3 linked regions of the Arabidopsis thaliana genome follow. The protein of the gene in region 1 interacts with the protein of each later gene in a biochemical or structural test. Each region holds a gene or a part of one and is shown on either strand. Other genes may lie near its edges.

Region 1 (11,053 bases):
ACCCTAAAATCAGCCAAATTCAAATTCCGCTAACCAATTTCCATGGCAGAGGAAATTCCAGCAACAGCATCATTCACTCCATACGTCCATTCACAAACTCTAACATCTCACAATCGCGCCGTCTCCTCCGTGAAATTCTCCTCCGATGGACGTCTCCTCGCATCCGCCTCCGCCGACAAAACAATCCGCACTTACACAATCAACACCATTAACGATCCAATCGCCGAGCCCGTACAAGAATTCACCGGCCATGAAAACGGTATCTCCGATGTTGCATTCTCTTCAGACGCGAGGTTTATAGTCTCAGCTTCCGATGACAAAACCTTAAAGCTATGGGACGTTGAAACTGGTTCATTGATCAAGACGCTTATTGGACACACTAATTACGCCTTCTGTGTCAATTTCAATCCTCAATCAAATATGATTGTATCTGGTTCGTTTGATGAAACTGTTCGGATCTGGGATGTCACTACTGGAAAGTGTTTGAAAGTTCTTCCCGCGCATTCTGATCCTGTTACTGCTGTTGATTTTAATAGAGATGGGTCTCTCATTGTTTCGAGTAGCTATGATGGGTTGTGTCGTATATGGGATTCTGGGACTGGTCATTGTGTGAAAACTCTGATTGATGATGAGAATCCTCCTGTTTCGTTTGTTAGATTCTCTCCTAATGGCAAGTTTATCCTCGTTGGTACACTTGATAACACGCTGGTGAGTTCACTTGTTGAATTCCTTTCAAAGATTTGATGTTTTTAGTGTGATTACTAGTTTTGCTCTATAGTGATCTCGAAAAAAAGCATGAAGATTTTGGGTAGAGTGTGTTAGTAGAAGTTTGATGTAGGAGAAGCCAATTCAAAACTAAGTTTACAGAGAAGTTGTTAGCTTTAAGTATAGTTCTGTTGTTGGTTGATATTCAAGAGTTTCGAAGGGTCGTATCTAGAGGGTTGTAGCTTCGAAGATACATCGTCGTTTGGAGTTTGATTAATTTGCATTAGGAAATTAAATTCTTATGATTCGTTATTAATGCACTCATCTCTCCATGAACTTAGATTCTAGGTTGTGTGTTAATAGAAGTTTGATGTAGGAGAAGCCAATCCAAAGCTATTTTTGCAAAAATTGTTATCTAGTTAAGGAAAAGTTGATAGCTTTGGAACAGTTCTGTTATTGATCGAGATTCAACACTTTTGAAGGGTCGTATTTAGAGGGTTGTAAGATACATCTTCTTTTGGTGTTTGCGTCTATAGGGTATTGTTGAATAAAGGAATTCTCATGATTCGTTATAAATTTGCAGAGGTTGTGGAACATTTCGTCTGCTAAGTTCCTCAAAACATACACTGGCCACGTGAACGCACAGTATTGCATTTCCTCTGCGTTCTCCGTCACAAATGGAAAGCGAATAGTCAGTGGATCCGAGGACAACTGTGTACACATGTGGGAGCTAAACTCCAAGAAACTGCTACAGAAACTTGAGGGTCATACTGAGACCGTCATGAACGTAGCATGCCACCCGACAGAGAACTTGATCGCATCAGGCTCGCTCGACAAGACAGTAAGGATTTGGACACAGAAGAAAGAATAAATCATCACTCTCTCTCTTCAGAAATCAAACATGTAGGTACATGCCACCTTCTTCATGCAGTAATCATCTGTTGCTTACTAAGCTTGTTAGATTGATTCTAGCCTCATTATGTAAAAGTCTAATTTTTGTTTGGTGTAAGGGAAGTGCAACAGACTGTTCTAAACTTGTAATAGTTCTCTGTGTGACTCAGAACTATTTAGGTAGGTCTTAAGGCAAAGACTCCTGCAAGTGCAAAGGCATTTGAGAGAATGAACACAAATCTTCATAGGTTTACCCTTTACTCATTGTATCTATTAAGCTGATGCAATGCTTCACCAATACTATTGGTTATAAAGTAGTTTCAGGATTGAAAATTGTTCATCTGAACCATATTGATGGGTGGCTCATGGGTCAAAGTACAGATATATGACTATAAGTAGATAATGTATGGTAGTTGGTTACTTTGGTTGGCCATGATGATGAAGCTTATGGTCCCCTGGTCCTGTCCCATTTTTTACTTTTCATTTTCACTTTTATCGTAAAGTCTTCTTTTTTTTAAACCCTACAAGATTTTGAAATGGACCACTTGAAAATTTGAACCCACTCTCTCTTTTTTTGTTTTCAATTTCGAAACCAAAATTTTTTAACAAAAAGATGACTTTGTGACCTTTGTTCTGTCTTTTAGCTACACACCAGTGGGCTGTTTGCTTTTACAGCGTGTCTTTCTGTTTACATGATTCAAGAGAAAGCAACAGTTCCTAAAGACTCAGTCATGTTTGTGTCTCTCCCAATTGATACAAAGACCAAAATTCAGCTTTGGTTCTTTTGTGTAAAAGTTCTCGAGATATGCTAATAAGATTAAACATAAAAACTCTCAAAAAGAGTATAAATTGAATTCTTTATGATTGTAGTAGCAAACAATAATTGTTAGGTTTAGTGCTATCATAATAATCTATTAGTCAGGTTAAATATATTCGATTTGGTACCAAATACGAAATCAAGCTTCAACAAACGAATCTGCAATACACACACACCCATCCAAAAGTATATCTTCGACATTTTCCCCAAAAAAGTATACATTTCCTAACACGTGCTTACCAATTCTTATCATTCGAAGTAAACCATTAAACAAGAAATGTTTTCATTATTATAAATTTTTCACTAATATAAGTTTATTATTTAGTGCAAGAAAGTGCGTTGCAGATGAAAACTTATTCTATTGATCCGGGTCCATAAAGAAGAAAACAAAAATTCACCTAATACGAGTACGACTTATTCTAGTGGCTACATATTTCCCTAATCATGTGACTAAAAATCTGCTTTCAAAATTTTGACATTCAGTATTTCTTTAGATCTATATCATTAAAAATTCATTTTTTTCTTTTGCATTTTGATTCCATATTTAATACAAGATTAAAAAAAAAAAAACTAATATGTTTGTTCACTGAGCAAACCATTATTGTTGATCAGTGAACTGTGGTAACTGGCAAAAGAAGCAAATGATTCGAAATCCTACTTTCTTACAAAATCAAATTGGATAATTTTGTGAGATAATAAAAAATCAGTATAAATAAAATAAAATACATGTCGGGAAACCATTATTGTTGATCAGTGAACTGTGGTAACTGGCAAAAGATGAAAATGATGCACATAGGACTGTGTTTAACTGACTTACTTCCACTAATCAAAAGTACGATCGTATCCCTACCCATCTCTCGAGGATCTTAACTGTTGCCGTGCGTCATCTCAAGGTTGTTCTCGTCATTATCAGTCGATCAGAGTACAGAGACCGGCTCTCTGGGTTTTGTCGATCATGCCATTGCCTTGGGGCTTGTTGTTGTGGTCCGTCCTAAGGATAGAAATGTTATTACAAAGCTTTTTAAGGGGTTCTTTGGTTAATTAAGTGTTTCGTTTTGCTTAAGAGAGGTTAAAGAAGCGGGTGTCTCAATAAGTTTTGGTAAGTTTGTGAATCCCCAGTGGTGGACTCCATCTTTTCCCGTCGAATTATAACATCAGGACCGTTCATTTCAACATCATCAATTAATTCATTATGGGGTTTATCTTTAAAACATCTTTTTGAATTTATGGTTCGCTTTGGTATTGCATTATTACACTTGTATACCTGTGTAATAAAGTGTTGGATTTTGTCAAGATTAGGTAACATCACGTTTCAAAACAACAAGGCTCCAAATTAATTAACATTTTCTTCATGTAATTATCGTTTTTGAATCCCTTCCTTTCTAATTCCATGTTTCATTAAATCCACCACATGCATATGTTTCTATATATGTTAAATAAACGACTTTTCAAGTTTTTAATTTGTGTTTTCTATTTTCAGAAAATTTATGTGAAATCAAAGTTTCTTAAAAATCTCCCTCCAAGTAAATTCCAAAATAAAATAAAAATAATACTTTTACAATATACAAATAAAACTCATAAAAAACACACACACAATCTTCATCTTCCTCACTTACTCTCACCCTTTTTAAAACCAAACCCTAACTTACACAGAAAGAGAAGAAAAAAAACAAAAAAAAAATGAAGCTTCTTCTTCTCCTCCTCCTCCTCCTTCTCCTCCACATTTCTCATTCCTTCACCGTCGCTAAACCAATCACCGAGCTCCACGCTCTTCTCTCACTCAAATCCTCCTTCACCATCGACGAACACTCACCTCTCCTGACCTCATGGAACCTTTCAACAACTTTCTGTTCATGGACCGGTGTCACGTGCGACGTCTCTCTCCGTCACGTGACCTCTCTCGACCTCTCAGGTCTTAACCTCTCCGGAACTCTCTCCTCCGACGTAGCTCATTTACCTCTGCTACAGAATCTATCACTCGCTGCTAATCAGATCTCAGGTCCTATTCCGCCGCAAATCTCCAATCTCTATGAGCTTCGTCACCTCAATCTCTCCAATAATGTCTTCAACGGTTCATTTCCCGATGAACTCTCCTCTGGATTGGTGAATCTCCGTGTTCTTGACTTATACAACAACAATTTAACCGGAGATTTACCGGTTTCACTCACTAATCTCACTCAGCTCCGTCATCTTCACCTCGGTGGGAATTACTTCTCCGGCAAAATCCCGGCGACGTACGGAACCTGGCCTGTTCTCGAATACTTAGCGGTTTCCGGTAACGAGCTAACCGGTAAAATCCCTCCGGAGATCGGAAACCTAACGACTCTTCGTGAACTTTACATCGGATATTACAACGCTTTTGAAAATGGTCTTCCACCGGAGATTGGAAATTTATCAGAGCTTGTTCGGTTCGACGCTGCTAATTGTGGTTTAACCGGAGAGATTCCACCGGAGATTGGGAAGCTTCAGAAGCTAGATACGTTGTTTCTTCAAGTAAACGCATTTACAGGGACAATAACTCAAGAGCTGGGATTGATTTCAAGCTTGAAATCGATGGATCTGTCTAACAATATGTTTACCGGCGAGATTCCGACGAGTTTTTCACAGCTGAAGAACTTAACGCTTTTGAATCTCTTCAGGAATAAGCTCTACGGTGCTATACCTGAGTTCATCGGTGAAATGCCGGAGCTTGAAGTGTTGCAGCTTTGGGAGAACAATTTCACTGGTAGTATTCCTCAGAAATTGGGGGAAAATGGTAGATTAGTGATTCTTGATCTCTCTTCGAACAAACTCACCGGAACTCTGCCGCCGAATATGTGTTCTGGTAACCGGTTAATGACGTTAATCACTCTTGGCAACTTCTTGTTTGGTTCAATACCGGATTCGCTTGGTAAATGTGAGTCTCTGACCCGGATCCGGATGGGTGAGAATTTCCTTAACGGGTCGATTCCAAAGGAGCTCTTCGGGTTACCTAAATTATCTCAAGTGGAGCTCCAAGACAATTACCTTACCGGAGAGTTGCCAATAAGCGGAGGAGGAGTCTCTGGTGACCTTGGTCAGATTAGTCTTTCTAATAACCAGCTCTCTGGTTCATTACCTGCAGCTATTGGAAACTTGTCCGGTGTTCAAAAACTACTTCTTGATGGTAACAAGTTCTCTGGTTCGATTCCTCCCGAGATTGGGAGGCTTCAGCAGCTATCTAAGTTGGATTTTAGCCACAATCTGTTCTCCGGTCGGATCGCACCGGAGATCAGTCGTTGTAAGCTGCTAACGTTTGTTGATCTTAGCCGTAATGAGCTCTCAGGTGATATTCCTAATGAACTCACAGGTATGAAGATCTTGAATTACTTGAATCTTTCAAGAAACCATCTCGTTGGTTCCATACCTGTGACGATAGCATCAATGCAGAGTTTGACATCGGTTGATTTCTCTTACAACAATCTCTCCGGTTTAGTTCCCAGCACTGGACAGTTTAGTTACTTCAATTACACATCGTTTGTGGGTAACTCTCATCTTTGTGGTCCGTATTTGGGTCCTTGCGGCAAAGGAACTCACCAGTCTCATGTCAAACCTTTATCTGCTACTACGAAACTGTTACTCGTCCTTGGATTGCTCTTTTGTTCGATGGTGTTTGCTATAGTGGCCATAATCAAAGCTCGGTCCTTGCGAAATGCGAGTGAAGCCAAGGCATGGAGATTGACTGCTTTCCAGAGGCTAGACTTCACTTGTGACGATGTCTTGGACTCTCTCAAGGAAGACAACATCATCGGTAAAGGCGGTGCTGGGATTGTCTACAAAGGCACTATGCCTAAAGGCGACCTAGTCGCGGTCAAACGATTGGCTACAATGTCCCATGGATCTTCCCACGATCACGGGTTCAACGCCGAGATTCAGACGCTAGGTAGAATCAGACACAGACACATCGTGAGACTGCTCGGTTTTTGCTCCAACCACGAAACGAATCTCCTTGTGTACGAGTACATGCCTAATGGTAGCCTTGGAGAGGTTCTTCATGGAAAGAAAGGAGGTCATTTACATTGGAACACACGTTATAAGATAGCTCTTGAAGCAGCCAAGGGTCTTTGCTATCTCCACCATGATTGTTCCCCGTTGATCGTCCATAGAGATGTTAAATCCAACAACATCCTCCTCGATTCCAACTTCGAAGCTCATGTCGCCGACTTTGGTCTCGCCAAGTTCCTCCAAGATTCCGGTACTTCTGAATGTATGTCCGCAATTGCCGGCTCCTACGGCTACATAGCTCCAGGTAACAAATTTGCAGAAAATGGCATTTAATCAAACACTTGGTGGTGAAATGTAAAATCTCTGAACTTGTTTGTTCCTTGTTGAGCAGAGTACGCGTATACATTGAAGGTAGATGAGAAGAGCGATGTGTATAGTTTCGGTGTTGTTCTTCTAGAACTCATCACCGGGAAAAAACCCGTCGGAGAATTTGGCGACGGCGTTGATATTGTTCAATGGGTGAGAAGCATGACGGATTCAAATAAAGATTGTGTGCTCAAAGTAATCGATCTTAGACTCTCTTCAGTTCCAGTTCACGAGGTAACACACGTCTTCTACGTTGCGTTGCTCTGCGTTGAAGAACAAGCGGTGGAGAGGCCGACGATGCGTGAAGTCGTTCAGATTCTCACTGAGATCCCAAAAATTCCTCTTTCGAAGCAGCAAGCGGCGGAATCAGACGTGACTGAGAAAGCTCCGGCGATTAATGAATCGTCGCCGGATTCAGGAAGTCCACCGGATCTTTTAAGTAATTAGACTTTCCGGCGATTGGGTTTGGTCATTGAGGGGCAAATTTGTCTTTCTAATTTTCTTGTCACCGACGTCTCGGTAGTGGAGTTAATTACTTAATTAGCCCGTTGTTGTCTGGTTCCGGTTAAGGCAACAATTAGTGGTTTAACTCTTAAGGTTGTTGCATTTCTTTTTTCACTGCTGCCACAATTATTCGTGTAGGAATTTTGAATATGTACATTGCGGTTGAATTTTGCATGATAAGTGGTTAATTTCAGGAAATCGAATTTCGAGAACATTATGGCTTATGCATATCAGCATATATATACATGCAGTTATGTATATGATCAATCTGCCCCCGGTTCAAGTATGTCAATTGTGTTAGACCAAAAAACACTTTTGCCCCTTATATTCTTAAGAACTTCATTTAGTTTCATACTCAAGCAAAAACTAATTTTTTAGAGTTTTCGTTGTCTTAAAATGAAACTAGTGTCTCCATTATGCTGGAATCTTGCTTATGAGTTGTTACATTACATATTTTATTCTCACCTTTGCTTTTACCCTTTTGGATTGTATCTGGTTGTGGTAGCTGTTGTGTCACAACAAGACATTCCATGTGAAAAAAACACAGAGAGGGTGAAACCAAGGTATGAATGTGTTTGTGTGGGACTGAAGATGAGTAACGCTGAGAAGAGAGAAAGTGAAAGCTCACTCACAATTTGTCCAATTATTGCAAATGTATGGGTAGTGTGACACTAGTGTCTTAATGAATTCAGATGGTCCTAAGATCTTTTTTCCACTCTATTCCCTTGTCTTGAAGCAAAAATCTAATTTTAGACGAAGCATTTATGACATCTCCCTCTCATTAATTACAAGCCATATATTCAACTTTGATTTTGACTCATCAATATCAAAAAATCTTTAGACTTTAGGTGTTGTTGCTATCCTTGGTATCTAGTACTTTCTTCGATAACCATGACTATTATATTGAGATAAGAAAGATATAAAGAACAATAAGAATATTAGTTATGATATTTTAGATGTATTATGTTCAAAATTTCTTACGTTCGAATGTACATTGATGATCTTGTAAACCTAATTAAGGAGTGCCTAACTCTAGAATTAATAAGTCAGGAGTTAGTTATCAAGAAACTAGAAAGACTTGAAGATGGATTAAAGTGGTAATTAATGTTTTTCAGAGGCCAAGATTCTAATTAAGAGATGGGAAATGGCATGTTCCATTCTCTAGCTTCATATATACACTTATCGGGTGAAACTACCAGATTACGAATAGCCATTAGATGACTAACAATTGAATTCAATTTAAATCATCCAAAGATATATTTTATATATTGAGATTCTTTCTTCATCTCAAACTTCTAAGTTCTAACATAGTCATGTAGTTGAACTTTCGGGCCGAGGCCCATAACAACTCCATCTACTTAAACGAAGGTTAGATAAAGGGACGAACAAAAAGAATCAGTCTGGTGTCAGAAACTAGAGTATGTACTTTTGTGTTTGAATTGTAACGTTTGTTTCTTTCTTCAGCTCTTCATTGGTTTATCGACACAGTACTTATGTCACTCCAATTGTGAGAAAATCATTCTGCACAGTCGTTTCGAAATCAAGGAAATCAAACAAGAGCAACAACAATCCAAAGAGTACCAAAATATATTTGGCTATAGAGAGCTATCATTGTCTTGTACACTTGTCCATGTTGGGCTATAGATCCATATTTGTGTTGGGCTAGGCTCAGTTTTTCTTAATAACACAAACTTACTTATCAAACACGTGTTGTCTTTTTGGTTATTTAAGTAGTTGACAAACAAAAGTACAAATAAGCTGTTAGGGCAAAGGAGCAAAAACGAAACCACAGAGAGAAAGCCTCCGTCTCCCTTATCAAAGAAGAAGAAGACGTGTATAACAAAACACTAGACACATTGTGAAGATAGAAAAAAATGGAGAGAGCAGCAATTCTCCCGAGTGTTAATCAAAATTACCTACTTTGTCCTTCACGCGCCTTCTCCACGCGCCTCCACTCCTCTACTCGTAACTTATCGCCGCCGTCATTTGCCTCCATCAAGGTCAACTCTTTTCTCATCTCCCTCTCTTATCATCTTCTGATTTATCTGACCCATTTCTCCGATTATCTTTCACAGCTTCAGCATTCTTCTTCCTCTGTTTCTTCTAATGGTGGAATCTCTCTTACTCGATGCAACGCTGTTTCGTCCAATTCTTCCAGGTTCGTTCTTTGTTTTTGGTGGGTATTTGTCCAAGTTCTCAGGTTCTTACTTATATATATGTATTGTTTATGTTGAATTAGTACGTTGGTAACTGAATTAGCCGACATAGATTGGGATACCGTTGGATTTGGGCTTAAGCCAGCTGATTATATGTATGTGATGAAATGTAACATTGATGGAGAGTTCTCAAAAGGTGAGTTGCAACGTTTTGGGAATATTGAAATTAGCCCATCTGCTGGTGTACTCAACTATGGACAGGTTTGTTTTCTTAGTTTTCTTCAAAGTCATGTCCTTTACTGTATTGAGTATGATCAAAAGTCTAGACCAAGCTTAGATTATGGTTAAAAGAAGCTTTTTGTGGGGTTAAGGTTTAGGATTTGAATGTCAGATTCTTGACACTGAAACGCAATCTATTATCTGATTTTGTATCCTAGTTTCTCAAAGTCATGTCCTTAACAAGTTCGATAAAAGGAAAAGCCTTTTGGGGGTTTAGGTAAGGATCTGAAAGTGTGGAGAAGTTGGTTAGATTCTTGGCACCGAAAAACGTAATCTGCCGTCGATTTTGTTTTCTAGCTTCTCAAAGTCCTGTCCTTTACTGTAATGAATTCTATGAAAGAAACTTAATTTATGCTAATCAAGAATCTTTAAGGGAGTTAGGAGGGTTTGAAAGTGTGGAGAAATTTGTCAAATTCTGGACAATGTATCACAGCCTGAGTTTGTCAATAAGTCTAGTCTCCTAGTTGTTATGTTAGTTGCATCTAGTGAGGATTTATTTACTGAATGTATATTCATATATTGCACGGAGAAATCTTCTTATATTGTAAGTGATGATGAGAAATGCCAAGCAATGTGTTGTGGTAAAGAGTGCAATTTAGGATCACATGAGTCTTATTAGTGTATGTTCTTCTAGGGATTGTTTGAAGGGCTAAAAGCTTACAGAAAGAAAGATGGTAATAACATCCTCCTCTTTCGTCCTGAGGAGAATGCAAAGCGTATGAGAAATGGTGCTGAGAGGATGTGTATGCCTGCTCCAACCGTTGAGCAGTTTGTAGAAGCTGTGACAGAAACTGTACTAGCAAACAAACGTTGGGTAATGAATCACGCAGTTTTTTTTGTCTCCCGATATGCAGAGGAAATTATCTAGATATTTGTTTGCTGTTATGAATTTAACTTGTGTTTGGTGTCTTGTTTTTAGGTTCCACCACCAGGTAAAGGTTCCTTATATGTTAGACCATTGCTAATGGGAACAGGAGCTGTTCTTGGTCTTGCGCCTGCACCAGAATATACTTTCATTATCTATGTTTCGCCTGTTGGGAACTACTTCAAGGTCTTTCAGAGTTACTTCGATCTATTCCAACTATCTAAGATTTGTTGTATGTTTCTCTGAATGATGATACGGATTTATATGATGATGTCAGGAAGGTGTGGCACCTATCAATTTGATTGTGGAGAATGAATTTCACCGTGCAACTCCTGGTGGTACCGGAGGTGTTAAAACCATAGGCAATTATGCTGCAGTAAGTAAAAGCTTATTTCACTTATTGATTTTATTGGACCAGCTTTCGTAACTCACACATACAAGTTATTTATTTAGGTACTGAAGGCACAGTCAATTGCGAAAGCTAAAGGATATTCCGATGTTTTGTAC
Region 2 (11,150 bases), on another chromosome or scaffold:
CCAGCCTCAGCAGCACCCTGCTCGTGATTCTCATGACACCTTCTTTCTAAAAGGTTCAAATCTTGAATCCTTTGTCACTAAATTTGTTGTTTAGGACAGCTATTTCTAGGTTGCTTGTTGACATCTCAAAGAATAGATAACTCTTACATTTAAGACGTAAATCTTTGAATGTAGTTCCCTCTACTACAAGAACACTTCCGGAAGATTATGTTGAGAGGGTGAAACGTGTTCATGAGTCTGGTGGTTATGGATCAAGAGGGTAATTGACTTGTATCTTCTTACCACCTTGAATAAATAATAATTAATTTGCAATCACTCTGACATGGCCTTTTGCAATAAAGGTATAATTATGATTGGAAAAGAGAAGAAGCAAACAAGAATCTTCTTCGTACCCACACAACGGCTGTCTCATCTAGGATGCTTTATGCACTAGCACAGGTTCAACTAGACTTTAGCTTACAGGTTTTGAGACGTTGGTTTCCAAAATTCAGTAGTATAATTAGATTTATATCTTACTGTAGAAACCTTTTGTGCCCAAGAAGTACTTTTCGATTGACCGTGTCTTCAGAAACGAGGCTGTTGATCGGACCCACCTTGCAGAGTTCCATCAAATTGAAGGTATAGTTCTAATGGTCAGAGTTGTCACTGTGGGGAGTTATATTAAAGTTAGCATAATCTTCTGTCAAACTTTATTCATAATCGGTTAAATGATCTCATGTTTGGATCAGGTTTGATATGTGATCGGGGCCTTACACTTGGAGACCTGATTGGTGTATTAGAAGACTTCTTCTCACGCTTAGGTAAACTCTTCGCTATTGAATCTTAACTTTGGTTCGCTTAGGCTCAAGAGAGAAATACTAACTCTTTACGGGATCATACTTTTCAGGGATGTCGAAATTGCGTTTCAAGCCAGCTTACAACCCTTACACAGAGCCAAGCATGGAGATTTTCAGGTAATTGGTAAAAAAATATAGTCATCTAAATTGCGTAAGAATAGAGAGAAAAAGTTAAACTTTGCCTGTTCCTGGATGTCAGCTACCATGAAGGTTTAGGGAAGTGGGTGGAGATTGGAAACTCTGGGATGTTCAGACCCGAAATGCTTCTACCGATGGGTCTCCCCGAGGATGTTAGAGTCATCGCTTGGGGTCTCTCTCTTGAAAGGTACGAGTTTTTAATTCCCTTCAACATCTCAGGGTCGTTGCTGATTCTTTCTTGCTTTTTGTTCGTTAAACAGACCAACAATGATATTATACGGTATCGACAACATCCGAGATTTGTTTGGACACAAGGTAAGCACAAAGATATTAATTTATTCTGATATCTTTCTATAAACATTTCCTTGTTCTGTTGATGTATATACTCAATCAATGTGTCATTATTCTGTCCCAGGTGGATCTCGATCTTATTAAACGGAATCCGATCTGCCGAATTGGAATCTAAGTGATATATTTTGATTGTCTTTTTGATTCAAGATACTCTATTTGGTTATCTCTTGGTATTTTCAATTCTACCTTTGGTTACTGGACTTTACAATTCCATCTTAAACGTGTGTACACTCTTAATTGCAATCTGGCTTGTCGAATTTTAATATTCATTTAGCATTTGGTTTTGTACGGTATAAAGTTTGTACTTGTACTAATGGCATACATATTTAGGATGCATAGTCTATACTTGTGCCAATGGCATATATTTTTAGAATCAATCGCAACAGCACCTAACATGTGGGAGAAAACGTATGTTTGGAATGGGCCAATGTGGCCCAATAGAATCTAGTGTAGCTAATGTCCATTGGTACCAATCTATTGTCACATACATAAGTATTGAGATACGGTCCAAGCAGCTCTCAACATCAAATTTCCTTAAACATTAACAACGTTGTAACTGCTGGATATTTGCGGTGAACTCATCATTGTGCACGACGACATTGGCGTAATTGTTTTTGCTTTATATGATTTACTTGAGATTTTTTTAAATATATTTTTTTTATTTTTTTCTATATTTATATTTTTTTTCTCAATTAATTTGGTGTTACGTGATGTTTTGGTTTTTGTAATTATTGAATCTAGATAACACAGATTATGTAACAAAGCTATATATATAATAATAATAATAATAATTAAGATGCAGTACATATAATAATTAGGTAATATTCCCTCCGTCCAACGAAAATAGATTTTTCAAATTTTATATCAAGTCCGATCGGAATTAAATGTTAAGAAAGACGTATTTTTTGTTGCTTTACGGAATTGCTGGTTTTAGTGGTTTTCGTTAGAAAAGAAATTTGGTGACTCTGAAAATATGTATGTACTGTGACCGGTGGTCCCACTTTCTGACTTCAAACAACATATGTGAGTAACGGCTCAACTATCGATGCAATCAATTGTGGAACACATTCCAAGCCATTTATTATCCCAACTATGTGAGAAACCATCTCCGTTCGACGGTTCTAGAAGCCCACAAACTATCTTCGGCCGTGGGTATAATACAAGGTAAAATTTATGTATTGAGTGTTCATCTTAGATCGTGGGTTGTTCAGGTATACAACATCAAGTACTCGGATTCACTCTAGGAGATTTTCAATATTGCTTTCGACGAGAGGCTAGAAAAAACATACGGTCTTTCTTTGTATATACAAGGTATGCACAAAATCTTCACTTATCAAGAAAACTTTGTGTAAACATTTCTTTGTTCTATTGGAAATATATATATTCAATCCATGTGTCATTATTTTGTCGCAGGTGGATCTCGATCTTATTAAACGGAATCCGATCTGCCGAGTTGGAATATGAGTGATATTTTGATTTATCTTTTTGATTCAAGATACTTTATTTGATTATCTCTTGGTATTTACAATTCTACCTTTGGTTATTGGACTTGACAATTCCATCTTAAACATGTGTATACTCTTAATTGCAATCTGGCTTGTCAAATTTAATTTTCACTTAGCATTTGGTTTTGTATGGTATAAAGTTTGTGAGGTGGTATTTACGATGTAAGGAATAAGAACTTAGATCAAATAAATAAGTAACTGGGCCAAGAGGCCCATTAAGTGCAAAGATGCAACGTGGTTAGATAACAGCAGCCCATTTATTAGCCTCATTCACACATCATTACAGAAACTTTTCGTTTTTTATATAATTGCCCCAAAGTATAAAACATTTCGATTCCCACCCCATACAAAACGAATTGCTAGTTTGCTACCCGAGAATATCAAAACTCAAAAGACTGGTCTGGTTTGATCATCGAAAAATATTATAAATTAACGGGAATTTTTTATCAACAAGAGATCAAATCATAACCACACATAAAAAATAATTAAAAATTGACGTCAAAAAATAAATATTGATCGTGTGTGTGTGTGTCTTTCTTTCTATACATCTTTCATACTCCGTCGACTCGACGCGCCACGGCTACTTCCTCTCGCTGACGATCCAGTCGCTAAACCCTCCGCCTGAGACAGAAGGCTACTTGTTCCCGCTGCGACAGGATCAGACACGCTCTGTCTCCAACTACCAAATATTCGACCGCTACTCGAAGATCCTCTCGAAGATCCAGTCGTACGGAATCTCTCAGATTCGCTGCTGTCTTCTCTCACAACTCTCAGTGGATTCTCCAAGGCTTGTACTATGTGTCTCATAAGCGGCCGTCTCGTTGGTTTTGGGTTAAGACAAGATCTAGCGACGATTGCCATTGCCCAGACTTCTTCTAAGAGGTCTTCGTCGACCAGAAGAGATTGGTCTAGAATGTTCATTACGGGTTCTTTCTCTTGCGATGAAATGTAAGGCATGATCTCGGTTAGGATTTTTTTGAATTGGGTTTCTTTACATGAGCTGATTCCGAGTTTCCCTGTGATAAGCTCCAGAAGTATCTTGCCGAAGCAGTACACATCGTAGGCACATGTTGCTGTAGCTGCAGACCCTGGGAATTTTAGGGATTGTTAGAATAGTTAAGAAATTAGCAAGCTTGTTTTATGCATTTGAAGATAAACTCACCAGGAACACTTTCTTGAGAAGACCTGAAGAGGGAAACAGTAGCAAGCTTGTTTGTTAGATGTTTAAATCAAAATTGGTTATATGATGAATCAGAGGCACTTACTGGGATAGTCTGAGCAATCGGGCTATTTTCCGTGGACGGCCATTGTTTTCTTGATGACAAGCTTTGCTAAAGCTTCCAAGCCTAACTTCAAACTTATCATCCAAGAGAATGCTACTTGCTTGAATATCCCTTATTGAACATTGGAAGACTCAAGATCAGTAATGAACTAATGGTGGCTTGAAAGTAAAAAAAGAGTAAAAGGAATGGTTTTTCATACCTGTGGACGACGGATGGTGAGCAATCATGGTGCAGGTAAGCAAGTCCCTCTGCTACTCCCAATGCTATTTTCAGTCTGGTGATCCAATCGAGAGATCTCAATCCGTTGTCAACTAGGGAATTGGATTTATAGAACAATGAGCTTGGTAAATCCCTATTCAGCATGTACTTGTATACCAAGAACTTATGAGTTGCGCTCTCTAAGCTCTTCCCTACGAATGGGATTATTCTCGGATGCGCAAACCGGCTGAAGAAATCCAACTCGGTTAGATAAGCTTCGTTGTTCTTTGTAGATTCCAAGCTGATTCTTTTCACAACGATCTGAACTCCGTTTTCTAGAACTCCCTTGAAAAGATCCCCAGATTGTCCTTTCTTGATCAGGTTTGAATCACTGAACTCCTTGGTGGCATTGAGCAACTGCTGATAGGTAAATGATGATCCAAGACTCCCAAAGTTTATAGAGACTCCTCCTCTTGAGGGAAGTGTTTCATCAGGAGGTAATGGGCCAACACCGTTGTGTCTTCCTCTAGGATGATTACTTGTTGATGATCTGTTTCTTCGACGGACACAGAAACTCACTGTTATTGGTAACACTATGAGAATGAGCATAAGCAATATAGACCCTCCAACTGCAGCAAGTATAACTATTTTCGTGTGGCTTAACCAGGAAGTTTTAGAACTCTTCTTCTCTTCATGTTGTCCGAAATTGTTGAAAGTTAAGCCCTTTTTTGAATAAAACAAAGTGCAATCCGACAACTTCCGCTGCTTCTCTGGGCCCTGAAGACAATTGTTGCTCAATGAAGCTCTGGTTGGCACAAAGTCAGGAATTTTACCTTCAAAATAGTTTTCTGACAGGTCAACAACTTGGAACCTTGTCAGTAAAAGTGTGAGATTGCCGTAAAACATGTTCCCGGATATGTTAAGCATGGAGACAGTAGAATCAAAACTGACAGTGGTATTAGGCAGCATGTCAGAGAAGTGATTTCCAGAAATATCTAGAAACTTGAGCTCCGGTAACGACCATAACCTGGACGGTAAAGCGCCTATGAAACCACTGCCTCTGAAGTCAATGATCTGAAGTTTACTCAGCAAACTAAACAGATCAGGAGGTAGGGATCCTGAAAGGCGATTTCCCGCAATTACCAATGTCTGCAAGTTCCTTAGCCCTTTCAAATCTGATGGAACCGAACCTGACATTCCGTTGAAGCTGAGATCAAGGTCAATTAAAACAGAGAGGTCTCCGAGTGATGGAGGTATTGAAGAAGTCAAGGTGTTACGCGAAAGATTCAGACGCTGGAGCTTTGAGAGTGCCCCAATATTAGCAGGAATCGAACCAAACACCGAGTTTGAGGAAAGATCAAGGATTGATAGATTCTGAAGAGAGGTAAGAGACAGAGGAATATCCCCATTGATCGCATTCTTTGAAAGATCAAGAACTTTGAGATGTGATAACCGAGTCAAACTTTCAGGGATGGTTCCTGTGATTGAACAGGAGCTAAGGTCCAACACCTCTAAAGTCAACAGACTCGATCCAAACAAAGCCGGGATTGGACCTGGAAGATAGAACCTTGAGGCGTTGAAGGAAGCTAGACGGGTGAGATTGACGAGAGAACCAACTGAGAATTCCGGGTTTTGATTCCCAATCCTTGTCCTTCTGAACCCTGAAATGTTGATCTTAGTTACTCTACCATTCTGATCACATTTGATGCCGTTCCAGTTCAGACAAGGATTGCCTTTTACAGGCCAATCTCTGCTTCGTAACCCAAGAGAAGACCTTAACAGCAGAAGCGCCGATTTCTCATTCAGAGAACTTGTCTGTTGCTCAAACGTTGACTCTAACAACAAGAGGAGGAATAAGAAGAAGACCAACAAGGATGTCTTCCTCAGAACCACCATGGTTTCTCTAAACCCTGGTGACGACTAGTACTTCGAAAAACTTAAAGCCATTCATTGCCTAAGATTCAATTGGAAAAAAGCTTCGCGATTTATGGAAATAATCAAATCTCTTTTTTTTTTGGGTTTCCTTCGAATCCGATCAATAAAGGAAACTTTCTTTTTGTGATTATTCAACAAAGATATATACTAAAAAAGGTTCTTCACTCTGTTACCTCTGCGACTTTCTCTGGCAATTACTTTTCTCTGTGCACTTCAGAATCAAAAACGATTCATTGTTGTTTACCAATCATTTTCTGCTGCCTCTCTCTCTCTCTAACTCTTCCATGTTTTTTTTTGTCCTAGATTTAGAGAGAGAAAGATGGAAAGTCTGATATAATACGAAACAGATATTTTTATATAATATTTGATAAAAACTTCTTCTTACAGAACTGTTCTGGACAGAGAAAGCTTCAGACTGGTCAAGAACAGCGGCCGTTCGAAGAAAAGAGAAGAAAGTATAAGAAAATAAAAAAAGTGAGAGAAGGTGGATCTTTCGTTGTATACGTGCACGTTCCCAAGATTTATGGTTCGATCTCGTGACCGAGACGCAGATACAGTAATTGAAAGTGAAGTTCTGAATACGGCGTCGTTTGAGGAGTTTGACTCTCAACGATCCCGCCCAAGACAGCTTAACGAACTCTTAAATTAATATCATTTCAAAAATACTTAAAGTTTCTGCTGACGTTTAATATGATAACCACCATTTTAGTAGTTTTGCAAATAAATAATTGAATTCCTAGGAGCTACGATGCTACTCCATTTCTGTAAATTTTGTATGACAATTATTTTTCCTCGTATTAAAACGACCAAAATATACTAATAATAATTGTGGCTTTATTATGAGCAAAATGATTTAGTTGTCACTCTTATAAAAAGTCGACGATACTTTTTCATATTACCTGCGATATATTAATAATCAGATTTCTTAAAAAAATCTTAGCCAGGTTATTTCTTGTTGAAAAAGCTCTTCTACACGCTTTAGTCAGCATTTTCAGCACAAAAATCGAAATCAAGATACTGAACCATTTGTAATTGACTTTGTATAACTACTACATCTTCATTCTTCATCCGTCTAATTTTGGTATACAAAATAATTAATCCTGTAAAAAAATAATATTCAGACAGTCAAAATATTTCAAGTACAGAGCGAGTGTATCCAAATATTCAATGATTGAAAATTGAATTCCATTGAAAGATTTATATGTTCACATATCTGCACATCTAGCTTTCATTTGAATATCACTTAACATACCAAAATATTTGTACAACAAAAAACGTCTATGCTAAAGTTTGGATATTACAGACTGTAACATGTCCACGATGCTATTGCGATAAGAATCTTTTCATATGAATTTATTGCATGTCATAATTAATGACAAAACAAATATGTAAATCCATAGCACATTATCGTCATAGTCTTTGCATATTATTTCATTTTATTGTTTTACTAATTTCGCCGTCAGATTCATTGGGCCGGAAGTTATAATCTTTCCAATTAAATTAGATAGGCCCAATAAACGAAACTCAGACCCAACTATTGTATGACATAATGACGACGAGACGAAGGACAAAATTGTCATTTAAGGAATAAAAGATATTCTTACAAAGATATTTTTTGCTCGAAACGAGGAGAAAAAATCATTAGTTATCGAAAATGCTCACATGATGTGGGCCTAACCACTAACCCAATTAACCACACATCTTAATCAGAGTAAGTTGAAACAAATCTTTCAGCAAACCCTAGAAAACATGTTTAACCCTAGTTATTACGTCACACCTGTTCTATAAATTAAGGCTGCGTCTTATCACCTCAAATCACATAAGTCTCTCTCTTACATTTTGAAACCCTAATTTCTCTTCTTTTCCCCAAAAAAAAATGTCTGAAGTTGAGTACCGGTGCTTTGTCGGCGGCCTTGCCTGGGCCACCAATGATGAAGATCTTCAAAGGACGTTCTCACAGTTCGGCGACGTTATCGATTCTAAGGTCTGTTACACGAGAGATCGGTCTCCCGGATCGAGCCGATTCCGATGATTCTGATCCTCGACGGATCTGATTCCGATCTGTTTCTCTGTTACTTGATTCGATTACTGTTACTATGTTCTCTCTCGTTCTTTGTTACTGTTACTTAATTTGTCCCATCGGTACGTTCATCTTCCTGCTTCTATGAGCTCGGAGATCGATCGATTTTTGCTTTATATTCATCGCTTTGTTTTATATTCCTTCCACGATTGTTTTTGCTGATGTGTATGATTTTGTTTGTTTACAGATCATTAACGACCGCGAGAGTGGAAGATCAAGGGGATTCGGATTCGTCACCTTCAAGGACGAGAAAGCCATGAGGGATGCGATTGAAGAGATGAACGGTAAAGAGCTCGATGGACGTGTCATCACCGTGAACGAGGCTCAGTCGAGAGGTAGCGGCGGTGGCGGAGGAGGCCGTGGTGGAAGCGGTGGTGGTTACCGCAGCGGAGGCGGTGGTGGATACTCAGGAGGCGGTGGCGGCGGATACTCAGGAGGAGGCGGTGGTGGTTACGAGAGACGTAGCGGAGGTTACGGATCTGGTGGAGGCGGTGGTGGCCGAGGATACGGTGGTGGTGGACGCCGTGAGGGAGGTGGCTACGGAGGCGGTGATGGTGGAAGTTACGGAGGCGGTGGTGGCGGCTGGTAATCAAAGATAGAGTTGTTTGCGTGCTGCTGCTCTGTTTTTGGTTTAGATTTGGTTTTGTGTCACCACTTCTGGTTTGGTTATCGTTCGTTTGGTTTACTTTTTTGATGAAACAGTTTCGTTTAAGTCTTCTTTGTCTGGAACGAAATGTTAATTCGCGTGTTGTTTACTAAATTTATAACGTTTCCTTTTAACCAGATTCGAGATTTTCCCTCAAATAATTTATCTTGTTAGACACATGTATTTAATCGAACAGCAGCTAAAGGATTCAAATGATTTTCTTATCAATAATTACTATAGTTTGAAATTGATTAGTTCTTTAACTTTTGACCTACCAATAATTAGTGCTATTTTATCGAAAATGATCGTCACTCAGTTTTGCGCCGATCCAATGTGGACATTGGGTATTTAATACTAGTATCTTCTGTTTAAATTTTTGACTGAGAATATATAGACAACAAGATATTCATCGAATATTCCCCTTCCGTTACTTTTCTTTTTGTCGGCATCTTTTTATCGTGAAAGGATATCATCGTCAACGTAGCCCAATGAGCTCAAACCAAAAATGTAAATCCTAATCCATAAAATGACTATTAAACAAACAATAAAATCACATAGATGAGACTTTGGATATGCTACAATATGTGTACTTTTGTCTCTTGTAAAATGTGTAGGCTTGTTGAGCAATGCTCTGTTTACTCACTCTCCAAGTGACAACAACAGTCTGCACCGCTTGGAAGAAAAAAACAAACTTAGCATTTGTTAACAAAGTTATTATGAACTACTATAGCAACCCCATAGAAATAAGCATCTTCATTGAGCTACAACAGCTAAGTCTACAAAGGAACTTAAGATTACATCAGGATTTAGTTCCTCAAGTTGCAAAAGGAGCTACCACTAGTTGAGGAATATAATGCTTACCCTTTCCTTTCTTTTCCCCACATATTCTTGTAAAGCTACAGTGGCAATTTACACCAATCATCACCAGCTAAGCAACGTGTTTCATAAAATGGCCGGTACCTTCACTATAGGAAATGCAACTTGAAGATGGAGATATGGAATCAAATCCACCAAATCTTACCCTATGTAACTTTTCATGTCACAAAAGTAAAGATGCAGCGAATCCATATTGCATAACAACCAATTCTGATGTTTCTGACATAAACTATTATCTCACAGCTCAAGAGATTACAAGACGCTGAAAGTGAAATGTATATTTTTTACCATTTTAACACCTAGGTAAGAAGGAAACAATGATGAGAATATATATCGTGAAATGCCTACTTGTAGAATCCCGTAGCAACTAGCAACTATACCTCTAGAATATATTGAGCCATCAGTCTCATGATTAAGATTCTTTTGTCTTGTTTGAACTTTTCTTTCTTGTAAAGTAGTTTATCCCAAAACCATGGCAGTCTCTTGAGTTCTCAGAACATCAATATCTTAAAACCTAAAACTTGTACCACAATTCCACAAATGGAAATATCTCGCAAGGCCACAAATTGGTGCACATCCACAAGATAGACTAAATCTCGTAAGCATGTTAAAGAATTAATGCGCATGAATCATACCATGTTAGTTATTGAAGTAAGTAGTGACCATTTATTTAGTATGACATCTAAGACCAAAATGCAAATAATAATATAGATGACCAAGAAAAGCAACGTTGCCAAACTTCAAAGAGACTTCTGTATCTTGATATGATGTTCAAGACAGAGTATCCCTGAGGTCCAATCAACAATAAAGTTTGATCTCCAACTTTCCTGCAAGGACTTTAGTTAAAGAGAAGCTATATGGCTCATGGTGAACCCTTGAAAAGTTCCACCTAGTTAATATCAGAAACAATGATAGTCAATGAGATCCAATGTATTTGCAAATTTTTACTGTTGTAGTCAATGTATATCAGAGATAACGTTAGGCCAGAGTTTCCCAAAGTAGATGAAGACTTAAATCTAGAATTGAATGAGAAAACCTGCTCTGACGGTAACACGTCTCTAACTCAATCAAGAAGACATGAAAGTAATCACAGCAGTAAAAAACACAGAAGAAATATTTCTGCCAAGTATCATATACTGATCTCCACAATACTTGCTGATATTCTCTTTTTGCTCATTAGTCGATTACTATGGAGACAATGACTTAAAATTCTCTTCGTTTTTGCAAGATATTTGCTACATCTGGCACCACCGAAACTCACCTTATAAATAGGAAGCATTCTGCAACATCTATGCACATATC
Region 3 (9,309 bases), on another chromosome or scaffold:
CATCTCATGGTATATATCTCTCATTAGACCAAGATTAGCGTATGTGGCGTTTGCGTCTGTCCATAACGCAAAGTACTGAATCTTGAACAAGTTTCCTTTTCGATGAGGAAACGCGGTGGCATCAGCAGGAATCTTGTCCATCACTCCACCGTAAGGGTTCCATTGCATCCACATATTGTTGAACTTCAACATTGCTTTCCAGATCTTCTCCATTTCTTCCTTTGGGATCGGTTTCTTGACGTAATCCGATTTACTCTTGTAGAATGCTCCTGCGGGACCCGATGGTCTATCCAATAAAACGCTTGTCGATGTTCCCACAGGATAGTTCTGCCAAAACGTTGTCGTATTAATCCAGCTCATTTCGTAGCAATCTTCACGTTTTAGCCCTAATTCAGGCAAATTCTTGTTCATAATCGCCATGAGCCTCCTTGCTGAGCCTAAAAACTGAGCGTAGAACACAACTGCGATGGTTTTCTCGCTAGGTACCACGCCATTTACCGGTTTAGGCATTGCTCTCAAGAAAAGGTCTTGAGGCAATTTGCTCGACACAAGCTGCCATTTGTAGAGAACATCAGTAACTCCTTGCTCCAAGGTTTTGTTAACCTTAAAAACAGTCACGGTCTTTGGAACATCGACGAGGTTGATTTTCCACGAGAGGATAACGCCAAAGCTAGCGCCCCCACCGCCTCGAATAGCCCACAATAGATCACGTCCCAAGGTAGCTCCTGTCAAGATATTGCCGTTGACATCAACTATTCGAGCATCAACCACATGATCGACCGAGATTCCGTACTTTCTTATCAGATTTCCGTATCCTCCGCCACTGATGTGTCCTCCAGCTCCTAATGTAGGGCAAACGCCACCCGCAAATGCTAGGGTTTTGCTAGCCGCTGCGATCTTGGTGTAGAGCTCTCCCATGGTCGCACCAGCATCAACCCAAGCTTGCTTTCTGAACACGTCAATGGTTATAGACCGGAGATCGTGCATGTCAAGGATAACAAACGGAACGGAGGAGGTGAAAGAAAGTCCCTCGTAGTCGTGACCGCCGCTTCGGATACGGATCTGGATTCCGTTTGACTTTGCGCAAACCACAGTTGCTTGAACATGAGATTCATGTTTTGCAGCAACAATGGCGATTAGTTTTGTGTCGTTAGGGTTTAAACACCGTTTGTTATTCGTGTAGGACACGTAAGAAGACGCGAAGGTGGAGTTCTCATGAGTATAGATGGCTTCGGCGATCGGATTCTTCGGATTGGTCCGATTACGAAGGCATCGGAGGAAGTTTTCAATATTTGGTTTCGTTTCATTTGCATCTGAAACCGAAACAAGAAGAACAAGTAGCAGAACATAAACTACTTCTTTCATTACTTTGATTGAAGAACTCAAAGAGAAACGAAAAATCTAAAGTAATTTGTTATTTTTCTTATGTATTAATTGGGATTTAGACTTATAGAAAAAACTATGGAAAGAAAATTAAACTGAAAGATGTATTTACAGTACTTTGAATAAACTTATAAACCTACAAAATATGGAAACTGAAGTAATGAGGGAAAGTTGAATACTTTTTTTGTTTTATAATGTAATTGCCTAATTGGAAACGTAACTTAATGTGAAACTTTATTCAATTTTTTTGTTTTTGATAAAAAAGTGAAATGACTAGGGTTTATTGTAAAAGTAGGCAGTTTTTAGAAAATTATTTGAGAACTAGACAGTTTTTTTGGAAATATGCTAAGAGGGTACTTTTTATTGGGCTTGTCTAATAGGATTCATGTGAGATAGAAAAAGGTAGCAAAAATCCAAAAGAGGTGTCAAATACAATAGTAGCCTTGTGTTTTAAAAACACACATTCCGGCTGGGTTCGACGAAACAAATTGGATTGGGTTTTAAAACTCATTTTAGGCCCGTTAACTCCAATTCGTATTAAGTGAGCCCAAATATTTGAGCCCGATAGTTTCATTACGTTTTTTATCCAAATAACTTCTGAGCCCGTGTTTATTCTGAGATTGAGTTACTTTACTCTTCTTGGTTTTTCACGAACCCTAGCCACAGTCGGTGTACAACAAATCGAGGGTGAACGAGTTCGAGAAGAGAGACGTTTGAGAGAAACCCAGTACACCAAATGGGTACACTATAATAGTACACCAAGTGAGAACACTAGAACAGTACACCACTAGTACACTAGACTAGTACACTAGCCAAGATAGAATATAATAGTAGACTAGAATAGTACACCAAATGGGTACACCAATTAGTAACCAAGTGAATTAAAAACAGTACACCACTTTGGTGCACTAGACTAGTCTACTATTATACTAAAAACATTTAGGAAATGCAATGGAATTAAAAACTATACCCTAAAACTATACACTAAAAGACATTATTGAAATGTAGTGAAATTCAAAACTATACACTAAAAGACAAAGAGAGAAGACTAAACCCAAGGAAAACCATATATCATATGGAATAAAGTTTAAAACTATACCCTAAAGCCTTAGATTACTAGAATTTAGAATTCCAAGTAAATAAATAAATTCCTAATTCAAAATCATAACCCTAGATTATTATTATGCTTCATAACACTTGAATTGAAATATATTGTATTATAATTTGGATTGATACTTTGACATTCTAGAAGTAGACTAGAATAGTACACCAAATGGGTACACTATAATAGTACACCAAGTGAGAACACTAGAACAGTACACCAGTAGTACACAAGACTAGTACACTAGACTAGTACACCAAATGCGTACACTATGATAGTACACAAAGTGAGAACACTAGAACAGTACACCACTTCGGTACACTAGACTAGTACACTAGCCAAGATAGAATACTAAACAAAAGACGTCGTGACCAACCATGGAGAATCTTCGCCGGAGAACTTGTTCAAGTGATTTGAAAGTCTGAATTTTTTCGCAGTTAATAGCCTTTCCTGGCCTAGTTTTATCAACCTTGAAATCCCACCAACCATTGGAGTAGCAAATCCACCGGCCGACCATGGAGACGCAGGATTCATCGTCCCCTGAAAAAACGAAAACAGAGTCATCGTCTCCATCGTTATTTGTTGGCCGTACACTCAATTTCATAAACTGTAAAGCTTCTTATGATAACTCATACCTTCCATCTCGACAGATTTTGACAATGTGTGTATGATTTTCGAAGTGACGAGGGTTTATCTTCTTTTGACAATGACGACTTCAGAGAAGATGTCGACGACGAGAGAAGTTTATGTTCAACGAGGGTTTAGGAGATAAGTTTATGTTTGGTTTCAATGTCTTGAGGACAAATGGGTTTGAGTTTTGTGATATTAGCCCATGACAAATCTTGAATTTTGAATGATATTGGGCTGGTTTGAATTTGGCCCATTAGTTTTCATCAAAACACAAGAGGGGTAAAACGGTCTTTGACTATTTGCTGTATTAGAGGAGGGCTGTATTAGAGAGGACAGAAGAAACTACCCTATCAGCCTATTTTTAAAAAAACTGTCTAGTTCTCAAATTATTTCCCTAAAAACTGCCTAGTTCTCAACTTATCTCAAATGACTATTCCTCTCACTTTTTGAGTTAGTGCTCATGGAAGTAGCATTTAGCTTCTGTTGAATTCACCTTTTAATGCGTTGCATTAGTGTAAAATTCTCTAACAATTAAGAAGCCTGAGTAAGTTTGCAATAAATTTTATTTTCTTTATCAAAAGTTTACCTTTTAGCTCCTGTTGAATTTCCATTTTTTTAAAGATTCATTAAGACAATAACTATTATTTTTATATATTTTTATTATTCTTAATTAAGAAAATACAAAAAATTATAAAATATGTTAATAACAAAATAATAAACAATACAACATAGGAAACTATACCAATTAAAGAAATTAAATGCATATAGATTAGATGAATAAAAATAGAAATGTAGAAAATTAAAAATTATATATATGATTCTATAAATCTAAATTTTAAATTAGGCATATTAATTTGGTAAAATTGCAGAAATATAAAGTTCATTGGATATAAAGTGAAACTATTGAAGATTTTATTGATAGTAGTTTATATAATTCAATTCAATTCTCAAACAAAAATTATATTTAACATTGAGCACATTTACCAAATAATTATCGACTCAAATTCACCCACGTAGATGTTTGTTGCGCAAGAAAGAGAAAAAGTTTAGAACAAGATAAATAGACCAAAGAGACAAGAAATATATGAAAGGAATTCGAGGCACAATCTTACAAATACAAGCAAAACCATTCTAGATAATTTTTTACCAACTGACATAAACACATTATTATGTGTTCAATGACAACGAAAATGATAATTAAACATTGAAATTTGTTTTCATAGTGGAGCTATTGTAAAAAGTGTAGATATTCACAAAATTTAAAAAACTTCACAATTATTATTATTTTAATAATCTTCAACTTCCAAGCACACGATCACTAAAAGGAAAATGGGCGCGTAAATCTCATCCCACTCTGTTTCAAAATAACCGCCAACAACAACAACACCTCCAATAACACAGAAACTACCTCTCTGCTTCTCTCTCTAATCTCACCCATACACGAAACCAAATAACGAAACCTATTTGCTCTCTATCTCTCCAATGGCGTCTTCTCTGTTCTTCATCTTCTTCCTCACGTCACTACTATCATCCTATCTTCCTCTCTCAGTATTCTCCGCAACCGTCGTCGAAGACCTCGCTAATCTAAGTCCACCTCCTGATTTCAACACCACTATTTCCAACAACTGTCTTCGTGATCCAATGCTCCGTTACTGCAACAACACTTCCTCTTCTCCAATGGACATTGTCGAGATTTTCAGATCCACAATCGTCGCTAGTCATCTCTGTAACGAGTCCAAAAACCCTAACTGCGTTGAATCTTTCCCTAGAATCAGAATTCACGGTCGTCCTAAAACCGCTGCTCTTTACCTCTCTTTCGATTTCTTCTGGAAGTACTGTCCTTTAACCGTCGTTGATATCGAGTTAGTGAATAACTCTCTAACGAATGGTTTTCCGACAAATGTTCTGTCTTGTGCTCAGATTCGTACTCTTGATCTGAGTTACAACCAATTCTCTGGTTTTGTTCCGGTTCAAGATCTCTCAGGCTTACCCAATCTGACCCATTTGAACCTATCGTATAACCGATTCTCCGAGAATAAGATCTCGGATTCTGAGTTCTTCAAACGGTTTAACGCCTCTAGTTTCATACAGTCCGGTGTTCTTCCCAACGTGAAGCGTTACAAGATGAAAGTTTTGGTCTTGTTGATTGTTTTTCCAATAATGGTGATTTTGCTCTGTTTTTGCTTTGGCTGGTTATGTGTCAAGAGACCTGATTACTTACCAAGAACATGCCGGAGAAGAAACAAGTTCACATTCGCGATGCTTGAAGCAGCAACGGATGAGTTTTCAGATCAACATCTTGTGAGCATGAGCAATACAGTGGATATCTACAAAGGAACGTTAAGAGACGGGACAGAGACGAAGATCGAGGTTTATAAAGAGAAGGTTTCGAGTGAGAAAAGGCGTGAATTCGCAGAGGTATGCGAGATGGTTTTTAAGTTACGACACAAGAACTTGGTAAGAGTGTTGGGTTGGTGTAATAGTAGAAACATGAGAGCTTTGGTTACAGAATGGATTCAAGGTGAAAATGTTGAGACTTGGTTAAGTTCGTCAATGGCTTTATCATGGAGAAGAAGGTTAAGAGTAGTTCTAGGAGTTGTAGAAGGTATTTGTTATCTATCAGATCAATGGCCAGAGATTACATTTGATCTCACCACAAGCAGTGTTTTGTTATCCGATGATAATCAAGAACCTTTGATTTCTCATTTCAAGATTGGAGATAGAAACAACTTGTCAACAAGTAAGGCTTCATCTTCTTCTTGCAAAAATCAAAACCTTTTTAAGGCTATAAAAGCTAAGTCTGTTGTTGTTGTTGTTGTTGTGTTATTACAGATATATTCAACTTTGGATTGTTTTTTGTGGAGATGATTACAAATCTAAGACCTGATTTGGGACAAGAAGATTCAGAAAGAAGGTATCTTGAGTATATAAGAGTTCATTATCCGGATAATCTAGAGAGAGTGATTGATGAGAAGATGAAGATTGAGGGGAGAACATTTGATCAAGTTAAGCAAGCCATTACGCTAGGACTGATGTGTACTGATATAATACCACCATTAAAGCAACCAAGCTTGACGCAGATTTATGACTTGGTGAGTTCATTGTATGAGTCTAGTTCACGACATCATTGAAATACCTTGTAAAGCTTTATTGGTTTCTTTTGATTTTCAGACATCTGGTGTTAGATAGTATTGTAAGGATTAAAGACATATTTGTGTGTTTTTTCTTTGATTACTATAAGTACTGAGAGAATTTGCAGAAAATGAGTACTTAATTTGCAGACATGAAATCTGTAAATGGGCTTCATTTCTGCAAATGGGCTTTATTAGCTGAAATGGGTTTCATAGTTTTATGGGTTCTCAAATGACCCGACCCGGGTTGGAAGATATAGAAACTATACACTGGTTGGCAAATGGGAACGTTCGATTAAAAATTCGGTAACTACTACGACGTGACTTGTCTCTTCTCCGTTGAAAAGCCATCGACAGTTATGTATGAGTGTATCATTTATCAACTTGAAAGCAATTTCAGTTTTTAAAATAATCCAAATACTAATAAACCAGAAATTAACCCATCATCAAAGCATTAATAATCTTCATTACCATTTGAAACCGAAACTTGTATCACAATTAAATAACGATCATAAAATTAGACGTTTTTTTTTCTCTATCTCCATTTTCCCGGGGGAAAAAAGATCGGATTTTTGTTCTAATGTCATTGTCAAAATATTATTCGACAGATCACAAAAAAGGTGACCGTTTTTTTTTTTTTTTTTTTTTGGCAAAAAAAAAGGTGACCTTTTTATTTTGACATTGATAGTATGAATTATGGGGTCTGATGCTAGAAGTTCTTACATGGCGGGCCAGACAAAGTCAATGCCGGCAACAACGGACTCCTACACATAAATTTTTTAATTCACCAATTGTTTCTCTTCTATAATTAGCCCTCATCACTCAATTTCTCAATCTCAGATTATAATTCCACAAACGAACAAGAAGAAGAAGAAGAACACAAGATAACAATGGAGAGTAACAACAACGAGAAGAAGAAAGTTGCAAGACAATCATCATCCTTCAGACTACGTAGCCCAAGCCTAAACGCACTTCGTCTCCAACGAATCTTCGACTTATTCGACAAAAACGGCGACGGATTCATAACCGTCGAAGAGCTAAGCCAAGCTCTAACACGTCTTGGTCTCAACGCTGATCTCTCCGATCTCAAATCCACCGTTGAATCATACATCCAACCTGGTAACACTGGTCTCAATTTCGATGATTTCTCTTCTCTTCACAAAACACTCGACGATTCTTTCTTCGGTGGAGCTTGTGGAGGAGGAGAAAACGAAGATGATCCTTCTTCCGCAGCTGAAAATGAATCGGATCTCGCCGAGGCGTTTAAGGTGTTTGATGAGAACGGTGATGGATTCATCTCCGCTAGAGAACTGCAAACTGTTCTGAAGAAACTTGGTTTACCTGAAGGTGGAGAAATGGAGAGAGTGGAGAAGATGATCGTTTCCGTTGACCGGAATCAAGATGGTCGCGTTGACTTTTTTGAATTCAAGAACATGATGCGTACTGTTGTCATCCCTTCTTCTTGATTCTCCAAAAAAACATTTTTTCTCCAAAAGATTATTATTTTTACTTTTTGTCTTTTAAGTTTGTATTTTTTCCAGTTTATGTAATGATTGATTCAAACATTATAAACAAATAAATTTTTTCTTTTTTGTACTTACTGAATTTGGCACGAAAAATTCGTACCAAACGCATATTGTCGCCTATAAACAATATTCAATCTAATATATTTGTTTGAAAGAAAAAAAATGCGTAGCGGAGGGAATAAGTATTTAGCGAGTCTCTTGCGTTGTTATAGAGATGAAAGGTGTAAACTTTCTGGGAAAGTTATACATGGGTTCATTGTTAGGATGGGAATGAAGAGTGATACTTATCTATGTAATCGTTTACTTGATTTGTATATTGAGTGTGGTGATGGGGATTATGCACGGAAGGTGTTTGATGAAATGTCTGTAAGAGATGTTTATTCTTGGAATGCTTTTTTGACGTTTAGATGTAAAGTTGGGGATTTGGGGGAAGCGTGTGAGGTGTTTGATGGAATGCCTGAGAGAGATGTTGTGTCGTGGAATAATATGATTAGTGTTTTGGTGAGGAAAGGGTTTGAAGAGAAGGCTTTGGTTGTCTATAAGAGGATGGTTTGTGATGGGTTTTTGCCTTCTCGGTTCACGTTAGCTAGTGTTTTAAGTGCGTGTAGCAAGGTTTTGGATGGTGTTTTTGGTATGAGGTGTCATGGGGTTGCTGTTAAAACGGGTCTTGATAAGAATATTTTTGTTGGGAATGCGTTGTTGTCTATGTATGCAAAGTGTGGGTTTATTGTTGATTATGGTGTTCGAGTCTTTGAATCTCTCTCTCAGCCTAATGAAGTCTCTTATACAGCGGTGATTGGCGGGTTAGCTCGGGAAAATAAAGTGTTGGAGGCAGTTCAGATGTTCAGATTGATGTGCGAGAAAGGCGTGCAGGTGGATTCTGTTTGCTTATCTAATATTCTTAGCATCTCTGCTCCAAGAGAAGGATGTGATAGCCTGAGTGAAATCTATGGCAATGAGCTTGGGAAACAGATTCATTGTCTTGCTTTGAGACTTGGGTTTGGAGGAGATCTTCATCTGAACAATTCGTTGCTTGAAATATATGCAAAGAATAAAGACATGAATGGTGCAGAGCTAATTTTTGCTGAGATGCCTGAAGTGAATGTTGTCTCTTGGAACATAATGATAGTTGGGTTTGGTCAGGAGTATCGAAGTGACAAATCTGTTGAATTCCTAACGAGAATGAGAGATTCTGGTTTTCAACCAAATGAAGTTACTTGCATTAGTGTTCTTGGAGCGTGCTTTCGTTCAGGGGATGTCGAAACCGGAAGGAGAATATTCAGTAGCATTCCCCAGCCAAGTGTTAGCGCTTGGAATGCTATGCTTTCTGGTTATTCCAACTATGAACACTATGAGGAAGCAATAAGCAATTTCAGACAAATGCAGTTTCAGAACCTGAAACCTGATAAAACCACTTTGAGTGTGATATTAAGTTCGTGTGCGAGATTGAGATTTCTGGAAGGAGGGAAGCAGATCCATGGGGTAGTGATAAGGACCGAGATTTCGAAGAACAGTCACATAGTTAGTGGTCTTATTG

Evidence for each region.
Region 2: the proteins of BAM2 (region 1) and AT4G39270 form a complex in vitro, tested with the Arabidopsis thaliana proteins (one large-scale study listed by BioGRID).
Region 3: the proteins of BAM2 (region 1) and AT4G20790 form a complex in vitro, tested with the Arabidopsis thaliana proteins (one large-scale study listed by BioGRID).

What each region holds. Positions count from the first base shown.
Region 1 is NC_003074.8:18,413,648-18,424,700, forward strand, and holds BAM2 (Leucine-rich receptor-like protein kinase family protein), read left to right. Parts: upstream 1-3,920; 5' UTR 3,921-4,093; coding exon 4,094-6,680; intron 6,681-6,767; coding exon 6,768-7,189; 3' UTR 7,190-7,616; downstream 7,617-11,053. Other genes in the region: WDR5a (Transducin/WD40 repeat-like superfamily protein), read left to right, coding at 43-708, 1,289-1,576; BCAT3 (branched-chain aminotransferase 3), read left to right, coding at 9,121-9,246, 9,322-9,404, 9,486-9,663, 10,316-10,495, 10,601-10,732, 10,824-10,922, 11,000-11,053. UniProt on the Arabidopsis thaliana protein: Necessary for male gametophyte development, as well as ovule specification and function. Involved in cell-cell communication process required during early anther development, and regulating cell division and differentiation to organize cell layers.
Region 2 is NC_003075.7:18,271,931-18,283,080, reverse strand, and holds AT4G39270 (Leucine-rich repeat protein kinase family protein), read right to left. Parts: upstream 6,771-11,150; 5' UTR 6,208-6,770; coding exon 4,313-6,207; coding exon of another isoform or gene 4,225-4,312; coding exon 4,096-4,224; coding exon of another isoform or gene 4,092-4,095; exon of another isoform or gene 4,016-4,091; coding exon 3,993-4,015; coding exon of another isoform or gene 3,955-3,992; exon of another isoform or gene 3,919-3,954; coding exon 3,371-3,918; 3' UTR 3,140-3,370; downstream 1-3,139. Other genes in the region: AT4G39280 (phenylalanyl-tRNA synthetase, putative / phenylalanine-tRNA ligase), read left to right, coding at 1-53, 175-259, 342-438, 522-618, 729-800, 887-953, 1,036-1,161, 1,235-1,289 and 1 more; CCR1 (cold, circadian rhythm, and RNA binding 1), read left to right, coding at 8,123-8,230, 8,514-8,915.
Region 3 is NC_003075.7:11,131,712-11,141,020, reverse strand, and holds AT4G20790 (Leucine-rich repeat protein kinase family protein), read left to right. Parts: upstream 1-4,597; coding exon 4,598-5,855; intron 5,856-5,947; coding exon 5,948-6,246; downstream 6,247-9,309. Other genes in the region: AT4G20800 (FAD-binding Berberine family protein), read right to left, coding at 1-1,365; CML42 (calmodulin like 42), read left to right, coding at 7,137-7,712; AT4G20770 (Pentatricopeptide repeat (PPR) superfamily protein), read left to right, coding at 7,935-9,309.